3 linked regions of the Astyanax mexicanus genome follow. The protein of the gene in region 2 interacts with the protein of the main gene of each other region in a biochemical or structural test. Links are inferred from orthologs where the notes say so. Each region holds a gene or a part of one and is shown on either strand. Other genes may lie near its edges.

Evidence for each region.
Region 1: the proteins of eps15 (region 2) and tfap2a form a complex in vitro, tested with the Homo sapiens proteins (2 studies listed by BioGRID). The link is inferred for Astyanax mexicanus from reciprocal best matches to the Homo sapiens genes EPS15 and TFAP2A.
Region 3: the proteins of eps15 (region 2) and ap1g1 form a complex in vitro, tested with the Homo sapiens proteins (2 studies listed by BioGRID). The link is inferred for Astyanax mexicanus from reciprocal best matches to the Homo sapiens genes EPS15 and AP1G1.

Annotation. Positions count from the first base shown.
Region 1 is NC_064408.1:107,714,072-107,721,049, forward strand, and holds the start of tfap2a (transcription factor AP-2-alpha), read right to left. Parts: upstream 3,003-6,978; 5' UTR 2,973-3,002; coding exon 2,919-2,972; intron 2,532-2,918; coding exon 2,112-2,531; intron 974-2,111; coding exon 922-973; intron 1-921.
Region 2 is NC_064419.1:46,970,624-46,978,604, reverse strand, and holds the start of eps15 (epidermal growth factor receptor substrate 15), read left to right. Parts: upstream 1-4,960; 5' UTR 4,961-5,029; coding exon 5,030-5,056; intron 5,057-7,981. UniProt on the Homo sapiens protein: Involved in cell growth regulation. May be involved in the regulation of mitogenic signals and control of cell proliferation. Involved in the internalization of ligand-inducible receptors of the receptor tyrosine kinase (RTK) type, in particular EGFR.
Region 3 is NC_064423.1:38,501,214-38,508,924, forward strand, and holds the start of ap1g1 (AP-1 complex subunit gamma-1), read right to left. Parts: upstream 3,003-7,711; 5' UTR 2,864-3,002; intron 1-2,863. UniProt on the Homo sapiens protein: Subunit of clathrin-associated adaptor protein complex 1 that plays a role in protein sorting in the late-Golgi/trans-Golgi network (TGN) and/or endosomes.

The DNA.
Region 1 (6,978 bases), on a different chromosome or scaffold from region 2:
TCAGTCACATTTAATCAAAAGTAATCTTTACATCCCATCTACTGTTCTAAAAGACCTCATTCAGAAATAGGCTATTCTGCTTATTGCACATTTTCCAGATTCCCTCACTCTTTCTCTCTCACAGACACACACACGCGCGCGCGCGTTCACAAACACATGGAATAAAACACGCTCTTTTTCACACTCTCTCTTTCTCTCTCTGTCACACACACACACACACTTGCCCAACAAACCCAGGAGCAGCGCATGTTGTAGTGTATCTTTGCAGGGGTGCCCAGTTGCGTTGCACGGTAAACGGAGACAAAGGCCCGCGCACGTTTGGATAGATCACTAGTGACATTAATGGCTCAGCGGAGGCTAATAGAGACAATGGCAGTTAAGCGAACTCCGGAGATTGCTAATATAACAACCAATTACGGCGCAGATATGGAGAGAAAAAGAAGACATCCCTTAATATTCACCCACGACGAATTTAACAAACGCATCGAAAAAAAAAACATAAAATAAAACGAGTTGCCCGGATTCAATTTATGCATTCATTCTCTTCCAACCAGGAGACAAAGCCAACTCTACAGCACCAAACTGTTAGAAAATCAACCACGGTTCTCGTGGATAAAGTATCAAAAATCCGTGCTCGCCCAGCGTTAAGGCTGCCATTTTAAATGCAATCATGATGGTGCAGAACTAGTCGATATAAAGAACGCACCATTTTTCTCTCTCTCACTCACTAATACACACATGCACACAGACACACACGCTTACGGATATGCTATACAGGGCGATTTTTAGCTGTAGCAAATTTCAAATAATTTAGACTTTTAAATAGACTTTCTAGAAAAACAGGCCTGCAAAAAGTCTTATTTTTAAGGTGAGATTGTGCAGAGCCAATACGGACGCAGGGTTTTTTTAAAAGCCGCATACCTTTCTTGATGACGGTCTGGTCAGGGATGTGAATTCCTTGATCCTCAACATGCTGTAAAATAGTTCAGAATAAGCCATTAAAACACACTCAGAATGTAGAGAGGCTTCTATTTGGTTTGGCAAAATCAGATTGCTAAGCAAACGAGGAACCATTCAATGAATCTCATCACTGTTTATGACAGTCCACTACCAAATGCATAGTGATGTGTAGCACAATAAAACTGTACTTTATCTCTTGCACAAGCTGTAAAAAGACAAATACATGAGAAATTACAACGATGCTTTAAAAATATTTTTAATCGATTTAAATATACTGGTTATTTTTATTATTATTTTTATTTATTTCTCCCATCCCACCTGCCTGGCGATAAATGAAATAAATGTTTTCTACGCAGTGAATATATATGGTATTATTCCTGAGTATTTCTGAAAAATGTTTCCGGGTCGAATGCGTCATTTAGCCTCGTTATTTCTCTTCGCTTGAATTTTTTCACGGGGCAGACTACAATTAAATTAAAGGGGAAGGAAATGGGGGAAGAGGAGGAGGGTAACCAGGAATCACGTCCAAAAAATGACAGAGAGTATTAAAGCAAAATGTGCAATATAGCATGTTATGTTCCTGAGATGACGGTGCAATTATTTGATTGTTAATAAAGTACTTATTATAGTACTTTTTTACTTTAGTCTTTTTGAAATATAAAAAATGCAAAAGACAAAATCACACAGTAAATTCACCAGTGTATAAACAACACTATTAGTGCTAATTTAATTTAAAAAGTGTATAATGTAACACCGACAGCTTTGATTTAACACTGGCACATTTTCTGTCCAGATAAACATGCTGGCTATTTAAAAATAATTTTAAAGAAACGCAAATTTCCAGTTTTTAGTTAATATATATATATATATATATTATATTGTTGAGGTTAACAAAAACACAGAATCTAAATTCTGAAGGCTCAAATGCCTTTAAATCGCATATTAAATACATACCTACATTAAATACATACATACATACAAGTCACCACTACTTACTGTACCAGTACTAACCAGTAAAACTATTTTAACACGCATTTGTTGGCCCGATAATTAGTAACTTTTATTTCCAGACAAATACATTGTTTACAGTTTCACCATTAAAAAAGCTTTAGAATACAAAACTACAGGATTACGAGAAGTTTTGCTCTTACCTGCACGTCGTCTAAAGAGTGAGGTATTCCGTGGATTGGGATAGAGTCTGTAAGGCCGGTCTCGAGACCGTGGCCGGACGGCAGCAGAACCTCTCTGCGGTATTCCCGGCACAGTTGGTGGGGCAGGCCGCGGTGCTGGTGCAGTAGACTGCTCTCCTGGCTCTGCCGTTGGCTTGGCCATCCCGGGTGCTGGGGCTGTGGTTGCGCGTGCAGCGAGTTGATGGAATAGGGGTCATTGACGTGCGAATAAGGGTCCTGAGACTGCGGATAGATGGGCTGGTAGGGCGGCGGGAAGTAGGGCGGCTGGAAGTCCGAGTTGGGCGTGTGAGAAAGCGGTGGCGCACTTGTGTACGGTGACTGACCCACACCGCCCAGTTGAGGTAACCGGGCCGTGCCATTGCTGGTCCCGTCATGGCGATCCTGCAAGACGGAGAGAGAGAGAAGAAAGAAGAGAAAATAAGAAAGGGCGGACAGCAACAAGAATTCTAAAGAATTTCGTGCAAAAAATATCAGATTTTTTTCATATTATAGTGGCCAAACAATAATACTAATAATAGTATTATAATATATTATTACTAATATAATACTACAACTCCCACTACTACTACTGATACGACTACTATTAATATAATAATAATAATAATAATAATAATAATAATAATAATAATAATAATAATAATAATAACAATAATTTTTGACTACATAAATCAATTTCGTTTCCCATAAAATACACATAAAATTGTAAAAAAAAAAAAAAAACACACAAAAATATATTCAAATATTGAAAAAAAAATATCAAGAGCTCACATCCAGTAAAAAGTCTTTGTAATGGTATTTGATATTAGATATTATGGCTTGCATGACGATGCAGACATAAATATACACAAAAAGGGAAAAAAGACGGTCCTCTCTACACTTTCATCCCGCCAGCCCCGCACTCACTCACCATCGCGGAAAAGCTGTGCACTAACATCTGAAGAGATTTCCGAGCGTTTCTGCAAGGAGAACGCAAAAACCTGGGCAAAGAGCCGGAGCGGTCGAACCGGAATAAAGAGCCCACAGCACTGAGGCGGCTTTTCTATGTATTTCTCTTTCTTTCTTGCGTTCTTTCTGTTTGTCTGTGCGTCGAGGTCACGGAGTCCCAGTATTCAAATACGCGGAGAAGAAGCACGATAATCCATCAGAGCCTGGGTAAAATTCCCAATGTTCTTCATCTGCTGTTGGAGACGGAAACCAAAACCAAAATAAAAAAATTCAAAAAAGAAAAAAAGAAATAAATGCAGTTTTGTTGTTGTTGTTTGGAGGGTCTTGGCGGATCGGAGTGTTTTTTAAGTTTCTTAGATCCTCTTTTCCTTCGCCTCCTTCGCTCTCTCAGTAAGCTGTTCCCTCGCTTGGGCGCATATTTAGCAAAAGAGCTGCCTCTTCTTCCTCTCGGACTCCTAATAGCAGATATTCATGACTATTAATATTACACGAATACTTAATAAGGGAAGAATGGTCGGAAATCGAGCGTGAAGCGAGGAAGCAACTCAAGGCAGACTCCGCACTAAATGACGTCCATTGAATGAGGAATCAGTATATCTAATCAGAGATGGGGAGAGAAAGAGAGGGGGAGTGGGTGAGAGAGAGTGAGAGAGAGAGGGAGGGAGGAAGAGAGAGACAAAAAGAGGGACATTCTCTGGCGTCTGACGAATCAGAGAGAGAGGGGGGCGTTTTAAAAGATTTGAGGGCGAGGAAAAGTGAAAGAACGAACGACAGAGAGAGAGGAACCCAACTAAGAACCGAAGCAAAGAAAACGTCGAGCGCCTCAGACTGCTAAGAGAATCCGACGAGGGCTAGGGAATTTCTGAGCATGTTTGGTGCTGTTCCTTCTCTTTTTACTACTTTTCTCTTTTTGTCGCATGGCCTTCCCAAGCTGCTCCCCGAGAGCTCAGCCACATGACTAACAACACACAGCTGAATTGGCTCTATGAGCTGGCCAAAAAAACTCCAAAGTTTACGACTTAACGTTTACTCAAAACATACACACGCACACACACAGGGACAGAGCAAACGTCCACCCCTCCGCTTCTCGGCTTATTCGCACGCGATCCTGTTCATCACGGGTTTTTTATTTAAAAAACAAAAATACTCGATGTAAATTAAATTAAACGAGCAAATAAATAAAATCACACAAGCTTGAACAATTCGTGCGAAAGAAGAGTCAAAATTTATGTGTCTGTCGTCCGTAGGGGAACAAAAACATGCTCGACTGGCTGCAGCAATCCACACACTCCACACAAACACACGGGCAGCACCGTCCTAACCTTCCTTCCAATTGAGCGATCACACCGATACAGCTTTAAAAGAAACAGCTACAGCAAAACCACCGTGCTAATTTTTGGTAGTTTATTTTTAGCATTAAAATTAATTGATTAAAATCTAAATAAAATAACAAGTGTTACTTAATAATAACATTGATTAGTATCACTTATTTTTTAGTAACATATAATAACATTATTATTAATAATATTAAAAAAATAATAATAAATAAAATAATAATAATATCACCATCATTATTAATATTGTTATTATTTTTACTAGTATTACTCTTAATAATATTAATGCTATCAATGCTAATAATAGTAATGAAAATTGTATTTTTAATAATAATTATTATAACAATACATTGACATTAGCATTTAAAAAAGTTAATAATATGTTTCTATGTTTATTTATGCAAATGTGTTTGGGGTTTTTATTTTGCAAGTTGTGTTTTTGTCAAAAATGCTGTATTACTCATGATTTCATCATCCGGAATATTTACTATTTACTATATATACTATTATATATTAATATTGTTATTGAGACAATAATAATTGTTATTGATATTAATTATATTGTTATTATTTCTAAACAAAAATCATGAACATGTTTGATAACGAAAGCACGTGCAGATATGTAAAAAATATGAAACACTTTTAGATATGCATTACTTATTATTAAATAAAAATTATAATGAAATACACTATAAAATTCTGCAGATTTTTTTTCAAGCGCAACAAAAATATCTTAAATAGAAATAAACTCGTTTCTTACCTCACAGTCTTCATATTTAATATTATCTGTTAATTTCCACAGCATTTTCATGGGTTGTGAAGTGAGTATAGAGCGTCTTTGCCTAGTTTTACACCCAGTGCGCAGAGCTCAAGATGGCAGAGCTTCGGCGGGCTGAGCAGTGCGCGCGCTCAGATCTCCCTCTAATGGTGGAAGTTTAGAGGCTCGCACAGCGCTGGTAGAACTCCCTCATTAGCATATCAGCTTGATTTTCATCTAGCCATCACCAATGAACACACTCAGGTACAAAAAAAAAAACATTCGCTCAGAGATCTGAAGTCTGAAGTGTTTGGAGAGCTTTGTTTTCCTCCCCAACTCCAACAGAGGTACAGTAGGCTATCTGCTGGGTGAGAGCTCGAGAACATCTAATATACATCCCCACTTCAGCTAGTAGTAGTATTTGCTGTAAAGTAGTTTGGCAAAATGCAAGTTTACCTATAATGCGCAAGCTCAGCTGAAAAAAATGTGCATGAGACCAAAAGGAACAAAACTATTTCCAACCTTGTAAACAAAAAAAAAACATTTATATTTTAACTACATACTATAAATCTATATTTATATTTCAGTATATATAGGCCATTTATTATTATTATTATTATTATTATTATTATTATTATTATTATTATTATTATTATTATTATTATTATTATTATTATTATTATTATCATCTAATTGCATCTGTCATTTTTTATTGCACCGTTTCAGGTGCAATTCAACATTGCTGCAATGACAGCTCTCAAAACCAAGCTTCTTCTTTAGCATATCAGTGACCTTTATGGTACAATGCAAATATCCAGCACACCTCTCCGTCGCCACAGATACTTTGTTGGCGCAAGGATTTTCGTAAACTGTTGTTTTAGACCCATTGAGAAGCTTAGCCCGCGAGACGCTGCTGTCTCTGTTATGCAAAGCGGTCGATTCTAGTGCAGGTACAGGAGCTCCATTGAGAGTGCTGTTTTGGAGCTGTCAATAATTAACACAACAACGTGCGGTCGTTAAATGTGAATGAGGGAGTGGACGACGAGAGGGGCTTGGCCCCGCGACAGCGGCGACACGAGCACCCCGGGACCCCGGGTCACGGCGAAAAGGCACATGGGCGACAGGTTTAAGGCGTTGGCCTTCTCCATTTCAGTAGCTATTATCATTGGTGTGGGGGGTAAAAAAACAGCCATTGAAAGCAGTTGTCATTAATGAAAGGGCAAAATGAAACTCGCTCACAATAGCAATTATTAGGGCAGAGAAAAGTGCAGCAGAGGTGCATGGGGCCGTAAAGACACCGGGCTGGTGATAAGCAGCAAGCTCTGCTGAAACTAGGGCCAACCTCACTGCATTCTTCTGCAGATATGTTTAGGCTTATAGAGTGTATTTTTTGCGCCCCCCCTTGCTGTTCAGCGATCGTGGTGGGAAAACTCCGCGTCCTGCCCTTCGATGCTAAATAATACCTGTGTTGGGGTTTAAGAAAATACATTTTAATACTTTACCTGTTGTGTTAAGAAGCTTTTGACGACAAAAAAACTAGTGCAGTTTACTTGGTTGATTTAATTCTCAAATAATAATAATAATTTACCACTTGCAAAATTTAGTATGATTAATTTGGCAATGTTTAAAGAGTATATATATATATATATATATATATATATATATATATATATATATATATATATATATATATATATATATATCAGCCCTTGTAATATATATATTTCCTTCAGGACAAAAGTTCTCCAGACAGTCTTATGTTGACTGTTTTGTTTTTTCGTCAAAGGCTTAG
Region 2 (7,981 bases):
ATGTATTTCATTTATTGTTGATTGTTGATTTATCACTTACAGCCAATGAAAACCCAAAAGTCAGTATCTCAGGAATTTGAATTTGAATATTATATAAGACCAATTGGTACTTTTAGCAGTGTGGGCAGTGTGCCAAGTCCTGCTGGAAAATGAAGTCTGCATCTCCAAAAAAAGTTTGCTGTATAACTTCACACTAGACCTCGAGCAGTTTGGACTGTGTGTCTCTCCACTCTTCCTCCAGACTCTGCTCTCTTGATCTATAAATGAAATGTGAAATGTACTGATGATCAGTGATGGTTTGGAGAGCCATGTCTGTCATCTGCTGGTGTTGATCCACTGTGTTTTATTATCAAGTCTAAAGTCAGTGCAGTTTTGTTTTCCCACAAAATCTTACAGCGCTTCATATCTTACAGATTCCATCTGCCGATAACAACTTTTATAGAGATGCGGATTTCGTTTTCCAGCAGGACTTGGCACACTGCCAAAAGTACCAATTGGTCTTATATAATATTTTAATTTTCTGAGACACTGAGTCATAATCATCAACAATAAAATAAATAATCAATAAAAATAAATCACTCTGTGTGTTATACATCTACATAATTTATGACTTTCACTCATATATTGTTTTATCATCATCATTGCAATATGCCCATGTGCAATAGTCAAATCCCAGGATGTTCGATTTCAAAGATCAAATAAAATGAAAAGGGTCAGGCTTTTTTTTTTTTTTTGCTTGTTTAGTATGAAAGGAATATTCTCACTTGTGAGAGTGTACTATGATTATGACATGACATAATGGATCATGGACCTCTGAAGAAAACTAGTAAAATGTCTGTATTCTGTATATCTAACATTATATAACATATGTAACATATATATATATATATATATATATATATATATATATATATATATATATATATATATATCACAATACAACAAAATATTGTGATATGCAGCTCTAGGTTCTTATCAAAATGATCCTGTTTTGAGAGCATTTAAGCCTTTAAATTGTTAAAAAAGCAGTCTCCCCCTCACATCCACTTTTTTACTATATGCACAAATACACACTAAATTAAACAACACTGTTTATGCTGTTGGAGTCTGATACTCTTTTAATTTAGTGAGTTAATGCTGAAGTTGAGGTACTAGACTAGAAACTAGACTAACTGGACGTGTTAATCCATTGTTGTGCTTCAGGGCTACCACAAAATGTCATATTTCCAATAAAATAAAATTAGACCTTTTGTGTAATAACAGACATAAAAATATTATTATTTACTGTCTATCTCCATTTGTGAGTTATTATTGTTGGGCTCTAGTTTACCAAAAAAATCTTATGGGATGCTAGATAATGTATGCACTGAAGGAGCACCAAATAGCTTATTGGTTTTTAGAGATTTTGAGGTAAAAAGTGGCTTTTTAAGGGAGCACTATATGATTTCTGCCAGTAGATGTTGCACTAGAGCACAAGCATCTTAGCTCAAAAATATGCATCTGTGGAAGTTTAAACATTGCTTTTTCATGCATTTGTGACCTAAAATATATATTATGGTGAAGTCCATATTTCAGTGTTCCGCACTGGCAGGTTCCTGTGTGAACTATAAACTCTGTTACAGTACATTCACATTCATTACCACATTCTAAAATATGCACACATACAGGTATTTACACCCTGCAGGTATTTACAGGTGTGTGTATGCAGAAGGATTAAGCGATAAAGAATGGTCATTTCTTATAGACTATACAAGGATCAAGCTTTTTCTCCATTATCCCAAACCTGGGATGGGCTGGGGTTATTTCTAGATACACACAGACATATTAGTTGAACCATAGTTAGGATACTGTACAATAAAGCAATACATTGTTATAAAAGTTTAGTCTACGTTAAAGTGGCAGTCCGTATTATTTTGTTTCTAAACTGAAAGCAGAAGCATTTCTGAGTGGAGAAGTATAGGGATAAAATATTTTGTATTTTATCCCTATATCCCTGCTAAGCCATATTCATATATTAATTCTAAAAACTGGGGTGTTGGGTCGCTTTTCGCGTGAGTTCTTCTTTTGGCCACGTTACACGTCTTTACATACTTACGTCACACGTACAGCCTCTAAAAGAGGATCCGGCTCAGTTTTACTGAACGCAAGCGGCTGGTGGAGCATTGAAGACTTCAGAAGAGGAAACTCAGAGCTCAGTAGATCAAAACTTACAGACATCAGCTTTAATTGGAAATAGTACAAAATTCATCAGTGCATATTTTAGCTTGCAGGTTATACATTTGTGTTCAAAAAGAATGGCAGATGGCATCTTTTTCATTATTTTAAACATTTTCCTATATTATATATATAGTTTACTTTTTTTTATTATTTTTTTCTTAAATCAAATTTGTATTATTTTTCTATCCAGTATCCTACATCTTTTTTTTAGAGATGAAAAACTTTTAAGTGACAAAAACTGTATCATTTTGTTGAATTGAGATCATCCTGTATTTAGAAATATGCTTAGGTATAATTTATGTATGTATGTATATATATATGTATATATATGTATGTATATGTATATATATATATATATATATATATATATATATATATATATATATATATATATATATATATATATATATATATATATATATATATATATATATATACAGCTATGGAAAACAATTAAGAGACCAAATCAATTCTCTGAAATAGGTATATGTAACAAAAAGATGAGTTTTCAGACCTTAAAAAATGCAAAGAAAGCAAACTTATGTGGCGGCCCCTAACTAGGGGTTACCAGACTACGCCACCCCTTAAATTACTTATTTTATTTAGAGTAAGGGGAACTCTCAAATAAGACACAAGAACTTGACTGTAGTACAAAATACAATGATTTATTTAAAACCGTACCAAAGTCAAATCTACTGTCAGTTTCATTTATTGGGTGAGAGGAAATATATATATAAAAATTTAAGAAAATCACAATTTACCCATGACCACTGGGTCCAGGGTATGGAGAAATATGAAGTCAATCCAATAGGACCAAAAGAACACACGTGAATAAAGTTTACTTAATCACTGCACAGCAAACTTAAAAATAAAATAAACTAAGTACAAAAAAAAAAGAATCACACTTCTAGTGAACAGGACTTAGCCGAATATGGTTGACTCCAAACCCCCAGTCCCAGTAACAATTATAGCCACAGCTAAAATTGACTAATTGTACCATGTGGTTACCACTAGGCTAGAGTCTATACAGAGCACATCATTAAAAACCACAATACTTAAAAATACCTGAGCAGTTAATACACTTAGTGCTACAAAATTTATGGTAGAATAAAAAAATAAAAAAAAGAAATACAAAAAAAGAGCAGAAAACAGCAACTGGCAACCACTGGAACTGTGGCTCTCTATGCAAATACACAAAACACACATTAATACATTCATCACATAAAAACAGTGCAACTTGCATTCAATTACCAGAAGAGACATACCACTTAACTCAAGGTGGAATGCTAACTTCGCCCATGGACAGGGTAGCAGCTTTAAACCTCTATTAGAAATAGATCACACAAAAGCAATTGAAACATGATATAAAACCCATTTTGCATTCTGTTCAGAACATAGAGACATATCTTACCTAAAGTCCCCAAGTGACCATTCTAGAAATGGTACTAGTGTTAAATGTAGTAGTAGCAGTTAAATATAATAGCAGCAACCAAAGCTAAAACACTCAAACTATTACAAGACAGCACATGGAGCTAAAGCAGCTCAAAAGCATAGTGTCTCTAATAATGTACAATTAGAATGCAGCAGACACTTGCCTACTATTACAGAGCATATGGAGACATACATCTTACCTAGAGCCCCCAGATAACTATTCGAAAGAGTACTAGTGTTAACTATAGTGGTAGCAGTTAAATATAGTGGTAGCAACCAAAGCTAAAATAATCAAACTATTACAGAACTTTAAAAAGTGCAATAGTTTAAGCCTACCTGATCAAAAATACCTTCAAAGTTAGTCAGGATAAGTAGGAATTAACAAGCAGCTTAGCCAAGAGCTAACAAACAAACAGAGTGTAAAAAAAAGTTAGTCAGAATAAGTAGTGATTAACAAGCAGCTTAGCCAAGAGTTAACAAACAAACAGTGTAACTTAACCCCAGCATATCATATAATTAGCCAGCCTACCTCTTATATCACGTCGCCAGGCACAAACACAGACTGTTGCTATTTATAGCCACTCACAGTCGCTCAGCCTCGGGCACTCCTGTTCTCACTGAGTAATTCACTAGCTCAGAGAATCGTCTCCAGCCCACGCTGCTACTCGCGTTAGCTTAGCCACACAGTGCTACCTTCAATAGGACCCCCTATAGGTGCGTATATAAGTGCCTGCAGGACCACACTGACTCGCTAATGCTGGCGCCCTAGTTAATGACGTAACTCGTTCACGCCCCCTGCACCTGCACGCATACACACACACACACACACACACACCCACAATAGCTGGCTACACTTATATTAAGAAAGTTTTTTAAGAGTTCAGAAATCAATATTTGGTGGAATAACCGTAGTTTTTAATCACAGTTTTCATGCATCTTGGCATTATGTTCTTCTCCACCAGTCTTACACACTGCTTTTGGATAACTTTATGCCACTCCTGGTGCAAAAATTCAATCAGTTTATTTTAGCTTGATGGCTTGTGCTCATCCATCTTCTTCTTAATTATATTCCAGAGGTTTTTCATTTGGTAAAATCAGAGAAACTCATAATTTTTCCCAGAGATACATGTAAAATAAAATCTTAGAAAGTAACGTAAGATCACTAAACAGTTTTCAGAATGTAAATACAGCAGCCTTCTCCTAAAACCTGAAATCCATGTCAGGTTTTTGCTCCGCCGTCTGTGTGCGCGCTAGACTGAGGTCATATTGCAGCAGTCCGTTCCTTTATGGAGTAAATCCGGTACCGGGGTTTCCAGCCTCCCTATATTGCCCCATTGCCTATCGCAGCGCAGGGTGATGGACTAGTGGGAACAGAAACATTATGGCTGCCAGTCTCTCCCTGACTCAGGTAATAAATACTGATTCTGCGCGTTAATACAGCTTTATCTCCAACAGCTTTAGCCGCTAATCCTCAGCCTGGTGTCCAGCTGTCCGGGCTAGGCGGGTTTTGAGGTTAAACTCTGCCGGGTTTTTGTTTTCTCTGGTTGTTTGTGCAGACAGTGCTTTGGAAAAAGTTTCTAGCTAACAGGCTAATGCTAACTAGCAGGCTGATCTGAGCTGTGGGCTGCGGGAAGGGCGTAGTTAGTGTCAGTTTATAAATGGGTGGGTTACCAGCTTTTATCGCCTTGTTTTCTCTCTAAACTCACTTGGATGATAGCGAAGAACGTTTAATAAACGTTCAGTGCTCGGTTGTACTACAGATTTTGTGTTGAGAATGGATAAACAACTGTTAAACAACCTTTATTTAACGTTAGCTAATCTAGGAAGCTAACAGGCTCTCATAGACATCAGTATCTAATTTACAGCTCTGGAAAAAAGTAAGAGATCACTTCAAAATCTTTAATTATACCAAAATAAAAAACTCTGGAATATATTCAAGAGGAAGACGGATGATCACAAGCCATTAAACCAATCTGAACCGCTTGAATTTTTGCACCAGGAGTAAATGCATAAAGTTACCCAAAATCAGTGTGTAAGACTGGTGGAGGAGAACATGATGCCAAGATGCATGAAAAAACAGGGTTATTCCACCAAATATTGAGTTCTGATCTTTGAACTTTATGAAAGTGGACGTTTTCTTTGCATTATTTGAGGTCTGAAAGCTCTGCATCTTTTTGTAATTTCAGCCATTTCTCATTTTCTGCAAAAAATGCTCCAAATGACAATATTGTTATTTGGAATTTGGGATGAAGGTTGTCAGTAGTTTATAGAATAAAACAACAATGTTTATTTTACTCAAACATATACCTTTAAATAGCAAAACTGAAAAAGAAACTGAAGTGGTCTCTGAATACAACCAATATATAGCTAGCTCCGTATATTTAACCATATAAGTGCCCAGACCCATTTTTTAAATATTGAAACCAATTTCAATTCAATAAGAAGCTAATTTATATGTGTTTGTTACTGTGGGCCATGTCTGTAAATTTAAAATATAATAATAATGTTAAACATACATGACAACAGCATTGAATGTTTGAATACTTAAATGCAAATAACAGTAAATACACTTAAATAAAAAGCTGGTGTAGTTTTATCTCCAGCACTAACCCTAAACCTCTCCTACATTCTGTAATAAATACAAATACATTAAAGCATCCTGTAGTGATTATGTGTAGGTTATGTGTCACAAAGTTGTTAAAGTAAAGAAAAACAGACACAGCTTTTAAAGGATCTGTGACACACATACGTCACCATGGCTTCTTTTGAGACAAGTATCTGCAATAGAGACACTTCCCTTTTTCATGCTTCAATAATTTTTTTCTCTGAAACGTTTTAAATGTGTAGTTGGCTATCTACCTTGCTAATGAACTAGTAAATGCTATTCTACAAAGCTTGGTATATCTTATGTGGGATACAGAACACTGCAATTAGCCACCATGGAACGCTATAAATAATATATTATAACTAATATGCTATAAATATAGTAACTATACGAGTCATATCCTAGCATGAAGCTATAGGTATCAGTATTCTTGCTATTGAAAATCTTGCTTTATTATAGGAAGAGTATTAGTGTATATCTCTACTTTCAACTGGCTAAAGAACTTCAAGAGTTTTTAAAGGGTCTGTGACACATACATCACAATGGGTTTGTTTGATTTAAGTGCCTGCAATAGAATGCTATAGATACGTTCCTGTTTTTATGCTTTCCTATTTGTATGTGTGCGTTTTAGCTATGTTTTCAAATGTGCAGCTGGCTTGCAAACTAGCTACTAAACTAGGCAATTTTGTTCTTTTAAGCTTATTGTATCATATTTGGGATACAGAACACTGCATTTACCATGGAACACTATAAATATGGCTAATAAATATATTTTACATAGAATAGCCATATCCTTGCTTATATCTATAGATGTCAGTACCCTGACATTGGAAATCTGGCTTTAGTATAGGAAGGATATTGGTGCATACAATGCCTATTTTCAATTGAATTTTCTAGTTTAATATTATTAGAATATTACAGTAATAAATTCACATAAATCTATCATAAATTTGCATTTTTTTCGCATATTTAAGAACAACTCGAGCAGGACATCACTTTTTCCTTCTTATTTGGTTTGACTAAGTTTAACCACTTCATGCTCAATCAGACTTAGAAACAGCAATATTCACAACTTTACACATTTATTCATATTAAATTCTGGCTGCTCTGCTTGAATACTGCTTAAATACTTTGATATAAAAAATCTGTTGATATTAAAAATAAGTATAGGAAGGGTATCAGTGCATATTCCTATTTTTAACTCACATTGTTTGATATATGAAGTATGAGAGACATAAAACATTGTGTGTGATTTAGTGAAGCTGTTTCATATTTCATAAGAATATGAGAGTAATAAATACACACATGTATCATAAATGAACAGTTTATTGCATACTTAAGAACAACTCAAGCAGGACATCAGTTTTCTTTTCTACTGTGTTTAACCAATTCATGCCCAGTCAGACTTCAAAACAGCACAATTTACAACTTCAACACATTTAATCATATTAAATTATGTCTGCTCTGCGTGAATAATGCTTAAATGTAAAAAAAATCATTTTTTATCCTTATAAAAGCAGCAGAAGCAGCTGCTCCAGCAATGCTTGTTTACTTGAGTTAGCTTAGCTAAGCTAACGCTAGCTTAGCTTAGCTAGCTTAGCTTATGTAGCTTTAGCGTTTTTGCTGAAGTGTATATATAACTTTTAAAACTATATAATGATTTTTCAGCAAAGGGGAGAAGTCAGCGTTTAGTCAAGTCGTGCCCTCGTGTTTTATGTCGCTTAATTT
Region 3 (7,711 bases), on a different chromosome or scaffold from region 2:
GCTCGCTAGCAGGCCTTAGCTTAGCCTTAGACTAGCTCACTAGTTTGCTAGCTAGCTCCCTAGCTAGGCAGCTCACTCATTCCCACCTCTTTAAAGAAACTAGCTAGGCAGCCTAGATAGATAGGTAGGTAACTAGCTAGTTAAATAGGTGAGCTATATACCGATTAATTTAGCGGTAATACAATTGATTGACCTTCTTTCCTCGATTTGACATTTTCTCCTAGTTCTTAAGTTTCCTACTTTTTCAGTCACAGTGAAGTGTGCTTGAGTTAAAGATAAATAACTAACTAGCAAGCAATGCATCAAAGGAGCATAGCCAAGGATAGGATACAGAAAGGGATTAGATACAGTTCAATCAACCTGAATCCTGCTTAATAATGAAGAAAGCTGCAAGTCTGAAACCTTGATTCACATTTATATACATATATACTTACATAAAAAGGTTTATCAAGTATCAAGCTCAGCACAAGCTAGGTTTGTTTACAACTGGTTAGTTAGCTAGGTTAATCGATAAATTAACCTAATCACGAGCTAGGTTTTTCCACACATAATTCTGCATGTGTCCCTGTAAAACTTTAATATAGTCTTAAATATTAAGTTAACACTGTAAAAAAAAGATTTTAATTTGTTTCTTGAGATTGATGTGCTAATTTCCTGTAAATTGCAATGACTTTGAAACCAATAAAACATTAAATAACAAAGAAAGAAGACAAACTTGTAAGGCAACCTAGATAGTTAGACAGGTAGGTAACTAGCTAGTTAACTGGCCAGTTTAGCTAACTCTTTTAGCTAACTACAGTTTAAACAAAATTAATTAGGTAGTTAATACATTTGAGCTTCTTTCCTCAACTTTTCCTCCTAGTTCCCTAGTTTCTAGTTCTTCTTAGAGTGAAGTGTGCTTGACTTACAGATATCTAAACATAACTTACTAGCAAGACATAAAGGGAGAAACCTAACTAGGTTAGATAACGTTAACTAATGTCGTTGTTACCTCAGATGAAAGATCTCTTAAAAAGGAGAAATCTGCATGTTTGAACCCTTTCTTTTTTGTGAAAACTACATGACAAAGATCTTCAATGTGAGTAAACACTTATAACATTGCTATTTTAATGCTCAAAACCTGTTCCGTCACTTTAAATTACTTTAAAAAGGTGCACAATTGGGCCTCCAAAGGCTAGATAGCCTCCAAGCTACGTTGTCCACTCATTCCAACAGCTTAAGCTTTAAAAAGGCAAGTTAGGCAGTGGGGGTGGGCGATATGGCTCTAAAATAATATCACGATATTTCAGGGACTGTTTGGCAATAACAATATACTTGGTGATATAGAAAAACTAAAATAATTCATTAATTTCAGGAATATAGTATAATAGTATAATCATAATGTGGCAAAATAAATAATATAGCATTAGATAATATAATGCCGCAAATAATACAGCAGAAAATTTAGTGCATGCATATGAACTGCAAACTAAAACAATTATACAATAAACACACTTAAAGCTTTGGAGTAAATAATAGACTACTTTTAAGACAGAACAGCCCAATTATCACGATATGAATTTTTAATATCATGATATTTCTGTGTCATGGTATTAGCCAGATAACTAGCTGGTTATATGCGTTGGCTAACTTAGATACTTCAGCTAACTAAGTTACATCTCAAAAACGGATTAATTTAGCGGTTAAAACATTTTCTTGACCTTTTCCTCAACTTGACGTTTCCTCCTAGCTCATAGTTCCCAAGTTCTTGTCAGAGTGAAGTGTTTCATTGCTCTTTTAATGCTAAAAAACTTTTTTTTTTTTTTTTTTTTGCTTTATGTTACCTGGTAAGCTACAAGGCCTCAGCTTAGGCAAGCTCAGTAGTTAGCTAACTAGTTCCCTAGCTCGACTGTTCACTAAAAAGACTACTTAGGCAGCCTAGGCAGTCAGCTACCTAGTAGTAAACTAGGCTAGCTAACCTAACGCTACCTTCTTCAACTTACTGCAGTTTAAAAACGGATTAATTCATTTATTGCCCTTCTTTTCTCAACTTGACGTTTCCTCCTTGTTTCTAGTTCTTGTCAGAGAGAAGTGTGCTTAATAGCAAGCTAGCTAACCTAGATAGCTACCTAGCAAGGCCTCAAGGGACCATAGCTAAAGACTGGATACGAATTAGCCAGCTAACTAACCGAGCAACCTAACTACCTAGGCAGGCTATCTAGCTAACGTTACATTACCCGGATGGCAGCTGCCTTTTATTATGAAGAAAGCTGCAAGTTTTAAAGCTAATTTTACACGAATTTATTTATATATGCATGTTTAAAAGGTTTAAATATACGTAGCAAGCTAAGCACAAGCTAGGTTTGTCAGTATGGACACGCCTGATGCCCAATCAGAGGCTTTCCTAGCAAATCCAGTCCGTGAAGTGACACTCCGCGCCGGAATTTCGTTCTAACTACATCGACGGGTCGGCTGCAGCTGAACTGCAGCATATCCGTTTACGCAGTTAGAACGAAACGCCGGAACTGGATTTTCAATCCACGGATCTGGATTAGCCACGGCCACTCATTGCTCGCTATTTTCACCGATTTATCTCACTAAGCACGCGTTTTAAAGTGTACAAAACTGCACCCTCGCCTACTCAACCTTCTCCGACTCGTGCCGTTAAGTTTGTGACTCGCTAAACGCCGTTCTTGAGTTTTTTAAACCTGTAATAAACGTTACTCGCCTTAGCTGCTCTACTTCCCGAGCCCCCTTACTCAGCCTTTACAGCCGCGGACAGTGTTAAAATAGCGCCGTTTCGAGGCGGCCCGGGAAGCCGCGAGCTCCATTACCGTCCTAACGGGTCTTTTATCGCTGTGGTTCCGAAAGACACCGTACTCACCAGCCGTACTGACACCAGGAAAGCGCTGGAATCGTCTCTGTTTGCGACGGAGGGAGGAACGGACCAGACATTCAAAATGGCGGCGGCCCTAGCCTCAGCACTTCTACTGCAGGCGGAAGGATACAGCGCGGAATCGTCTCCCACCGAACTTCAAGGTGGAAGCAGCGCGCGCGCGCATGCACACATGCACGCGCAGGCAGGAAGGACAGCACACATATATTATACACACAGATACATAGATAATTACAAATATATTACATGTATTTTATTATTTATTCTACCAATAATAATAGTTATAAAATGTTATTGTATCATATTTCAGTATTAAATATATTTTAAATTAATTTAATTTGATATAAGATATTGTGTACAATTATAGAATTAGTAAATTCCTCTAAATTCAAGTTTAAAATATTCACTTTTGCATGGTTATATATATATATATATATATATATATATATATATATATATATATATATATATATATACCCATGCAAAAGTGAATATTTTAAACAAAAAAAACGATTAATTATACAATTATGTATAATTATTTAATAATTATACAATTATTAAAAAAAAGCAATCAATTATACTGATATACTGAATATTTCAAGATAATCGTGCATCTATAGTTTTAAGTGATTTAATGTGCTAAAACGGTCTTATTGTACTGGCAAATAATATTGCTTACTCCAGGAAATAACTGATAATATTTTACTTTTAGTCAAGACATAATGATGAAACAGACACAACAATCTGCCATAGAATAAGACACTTTCAGTAGTTTAAATTATTCAGTAGATTAAATTACTTAAAATGTTATATATATATATATATATATATATATATATATATAAAAGATTTTAAGTAATTTATATATTATTTTAAGTAGTTATATATATATATATATATATATAACATTTTAAGTAATTTAATCTACTGAATAATTTAAACTACTGAAAGTGTCTTATTCTATGGCAGATTGTTGTGTCTGTTTCATCATTATGTCTTGACTAAAAGTAAAATATTATCAGTTATTTCCTGGAGTAAGCAATATTATTTGCCAGTACAATAAGACCGTTTTAGCACATTAAATCACTTAAAACTATAGATGCACGATGATCTTGGAATATTCAGTATATCAGTATAATTGATTGCTTTTTTAAGAACAATATGTGAAATTTCTCATTTTGCATGGTTGTCAGAATTTTAGAAAAAAAAGACATACATTGCCAGTCGTTTGGACACATCTTCTCATTGTTCTCATTGTCTCATTGTCACATCTTCTCACAATGTTGTTATTTTTCTTTCCTTTCTCTACATTGTAAATGAATATTGAAGTGATTCAAACTATGAAGGAAAACATAAGGAATCATGTAGTAATTTAAAAGTGTTAAACAAACCTGTGAAAAAGCATTTAGGTGCTCTTATCTGGGGAGCTGTTAACTTGTGGTTTCTGAGGATGGTAACTCTGATTAACGCATCCTGTACAACAGAGGGAACTCTTGCTTTTCCTTTCCTGGGGCGGTCCTGATGAGTATCAGTTCCATCATAATGTTTTTTTGCGACTGCACTTGAGGATTCTTTCAAAGTCCTTGAAATGTTTTGAATTGACTGACCTTCATTTCTTCTTAAAGTCATTTTTTTCTTTATTTAGTTGAGTAGTCTTTAGTCTTCACTATTTACAACTGATGCTCTCAAACACATTAAGAGACAAGAAATTCAAGTAATTAACTCTTGATGAGTTCAGCACAGCTGTTAACTGAAAGCCTGAAATCCAGGTGAATCTACCTCATAAAGCTGACTGAAAAAATCCAGCAGAGATGTGTGAAGTTGTTATCTAATCAAGAAGAGCTACATTAACAAATCTAAAATTTAAAACATATTCTGGTTTGTTTAATACATTTTTGTTTACTAAATAATTTAATATGTTTTTCTTCATAATTTGGATATTTGCATTTTAGAATAATCAAAAGTTATTGCATTTCTAAACTATTTTCCTTAAGTACTTATCATAAACTTTAAAAGGATTAAGCGACGCTGGTCATTCTACTACAATGGGCTGTGCTACTTTTAAATCCATTTATTTTAGGTAGTGTTTAATTTTTTTTAATTAGTTTCAGTACATATACTGCTTTATTTAATTTAATAATTAAAAATTAGGGTTTAAAGCTGTTAACAGTGTATTTAAGAAAAAAATGGCTAAGTAAATCTGAAACCAAAAAATGTGAAAACAAAATTCTCAGGAGAAACCCTTAATTGTATTGTATCTGCATCGGCAGATACATAAATGTATAATATCGTATATAAGCATCGGCCCCCGAAATTCGAAACATCAGAAACATCTGTGCATCTCTACTTAAAACAAGTACAAGGAAATTAAAAATAAGTTATTAATTACTGCAATGTTACTTTAATAATATCAGAGTAAGAAATGTTATTAATTTAGATTTATATTTTTTGCAGTATGTATAGCATTAATTATTGTGAATAAATAAAAAGAATTATATAAAAATAGTCTATGTTTATACATTAAATGCCCAGAATTTAGAATTAAAAAAATGGTGTATATTTAATACACTAATAGCTTTGGAAATGAACATTTTTTAAAATCAATTTTCAAAGCTAATTTTATTTGCATTGATTCGGGCCAGCTGTAAGCTGTTTACCAATTAACTGTTCGCTAAAGCTCACCCCTCTTTTTTAAATTAGATTTTTCAGGTTTTTTTTTTTTTTTTTACAATACACCTTTACAATATACTAATATTTTGTACACTAGATGTTGTACCATTTCCAGGGAAAATAATTGGGGGTGTTCTAAAACTTTTGACCGGTAGTCTATAATAATAAATAATTATTAATAAATAGAAAAGAACAGTCATTTGAACAATGTTATTTATAATAATAATATTTCTAATATTCTTAAATAAATGTACATACATAGGATAGAAACAATACAATTAACAACATTAAACAGCACTTACATGACTGCAGGAACATCCTTACTGAAGCTCAAACTGGTTAAACTGGGTTAAATTTTTACCATAATCAACCTGACCAAGCTAAATAACCAGTATAATCAAACTTCACCAAATCTGGTTTACCAGCAAGACCAAGCATGACAAAAAGTCAACCTTAAATGATTAAGTGGCACCAGTGAGCTGAGCTTTACTTTAGTTTCTTGTAATGAATTCTGCTAATTGCACTTGGATTTAAACAAATAAAGCATGACTAATATTTATGACTAATCATTCATGGCTACTGATATGATACATGCTGTACATTTATGGTGAATAAATAATAAACAGCAAAACCGCTTGCCAAAGAAAAATCACCATAACCTTTTAGAAATTACAGACTCTTTCAGTTTAAAACAATTCTCAGACTTTTAACATATTCTACTTTAGCTAATTCTTCGTTATTAATATGACATTTCTGGCAAGAACAAACAAATTCACAGATAATTGCGTATGTTTTGTGTCTTTACTTAGAATGCATTATAATGCATGTAAGAGAAACTTTAGAATTATAGTTTTCACCACAGCTTCCAAAAGAAAACGTACAAATATTGCTCACATCACAATATTTAATCAACACAGAACTGCACAGATTAAATATTACAGAGAATTTTTATTATATTTATTTAATTTTTTCTGAATTCATCTCTCTAAATAATCAACTCTATACTCTGATTTTTATAATACAATATATAGAAGGAATCAACCAATCTTTCAATAACAGCAATATATAGATATTAAATAGGAAATAAGTAGATAATATAATATACAGTATATTATACATTATCAGTCAAATGTTTGGAAACACCTTACATTCAGTGGCAAAATAAATTGAAGATTAATATTATTAATATTAAGTCATTAAAAATATGATTTTTTTCAAAAAGATTTTTCAAAGTAGCACCTCTTGCTTAGATGACAGCTTTCCACATTTTGCATCACACAATGGCTTTCAGTTAACAGCTGTGCTGAACTCGTCAAGAGTTAATTACTTGAATTTCTTGTCTCTTAATAAAGTGTTTGAGAGCATCAGTTAAAGTAAAGTAGTGAAGAGGTAGAGTTACAGGTATACAGTGAATAGTGAATATTGAGTAATGTTCGAATCCAGATTATGAGAAGCAAGAACTACTCAGCTAAATAAACAAAAAAATTATTTAAGAAATGAAGGTCAGTCAATCCAAAACATTTCAAGAACTTTGAAAGAATCCCGAAGTGCAGTCGCAAAAAAAAAAAAAAATTGTCGGTTCAACATGATGAAACTGGCTCTCATCAGGACCACCTCAGGAAAGGAAGAACAAGAGTTTCTTCTGTTCTACAGGATCATTTCATTACAGTTACCAACCTCAGAAACCAACCAGCAAGTTAATAGCTCCCCAGATGAGAGTAAGGGTTTGTTAAACACTATTAAGTTACTACATGATTCCTTATGTGTTCCTTCATAGTACTGGATGACTTCAGTATTCATTTACTATGTAGGAGAAAAAAATATATAGCTGTTTTTATGATTATTATTATTATTATTATTGGACTAATCTAAGGAACTAAATAAAATTACATAACAGATAAAATAAATAGTTTCTTTTTTTCATTAATTTATTTATTTATTCCACATATACAAACAGAGAAAATATATTATTCACGTCAACTATACACCAGTTTATACCTTAAACTCGTGCAGTATATAGAGTATTTAGTGTATTTTGTGTCTGTTATTATGTCACTATAATAAAGTGACAGACCAGGAAGCTACAGTTATCCACCTGTCTGTTTATAATATAGAACTCCAGTGATTTATCACCGTAAATCACGTTTAAACCGGGTAAATTATCTG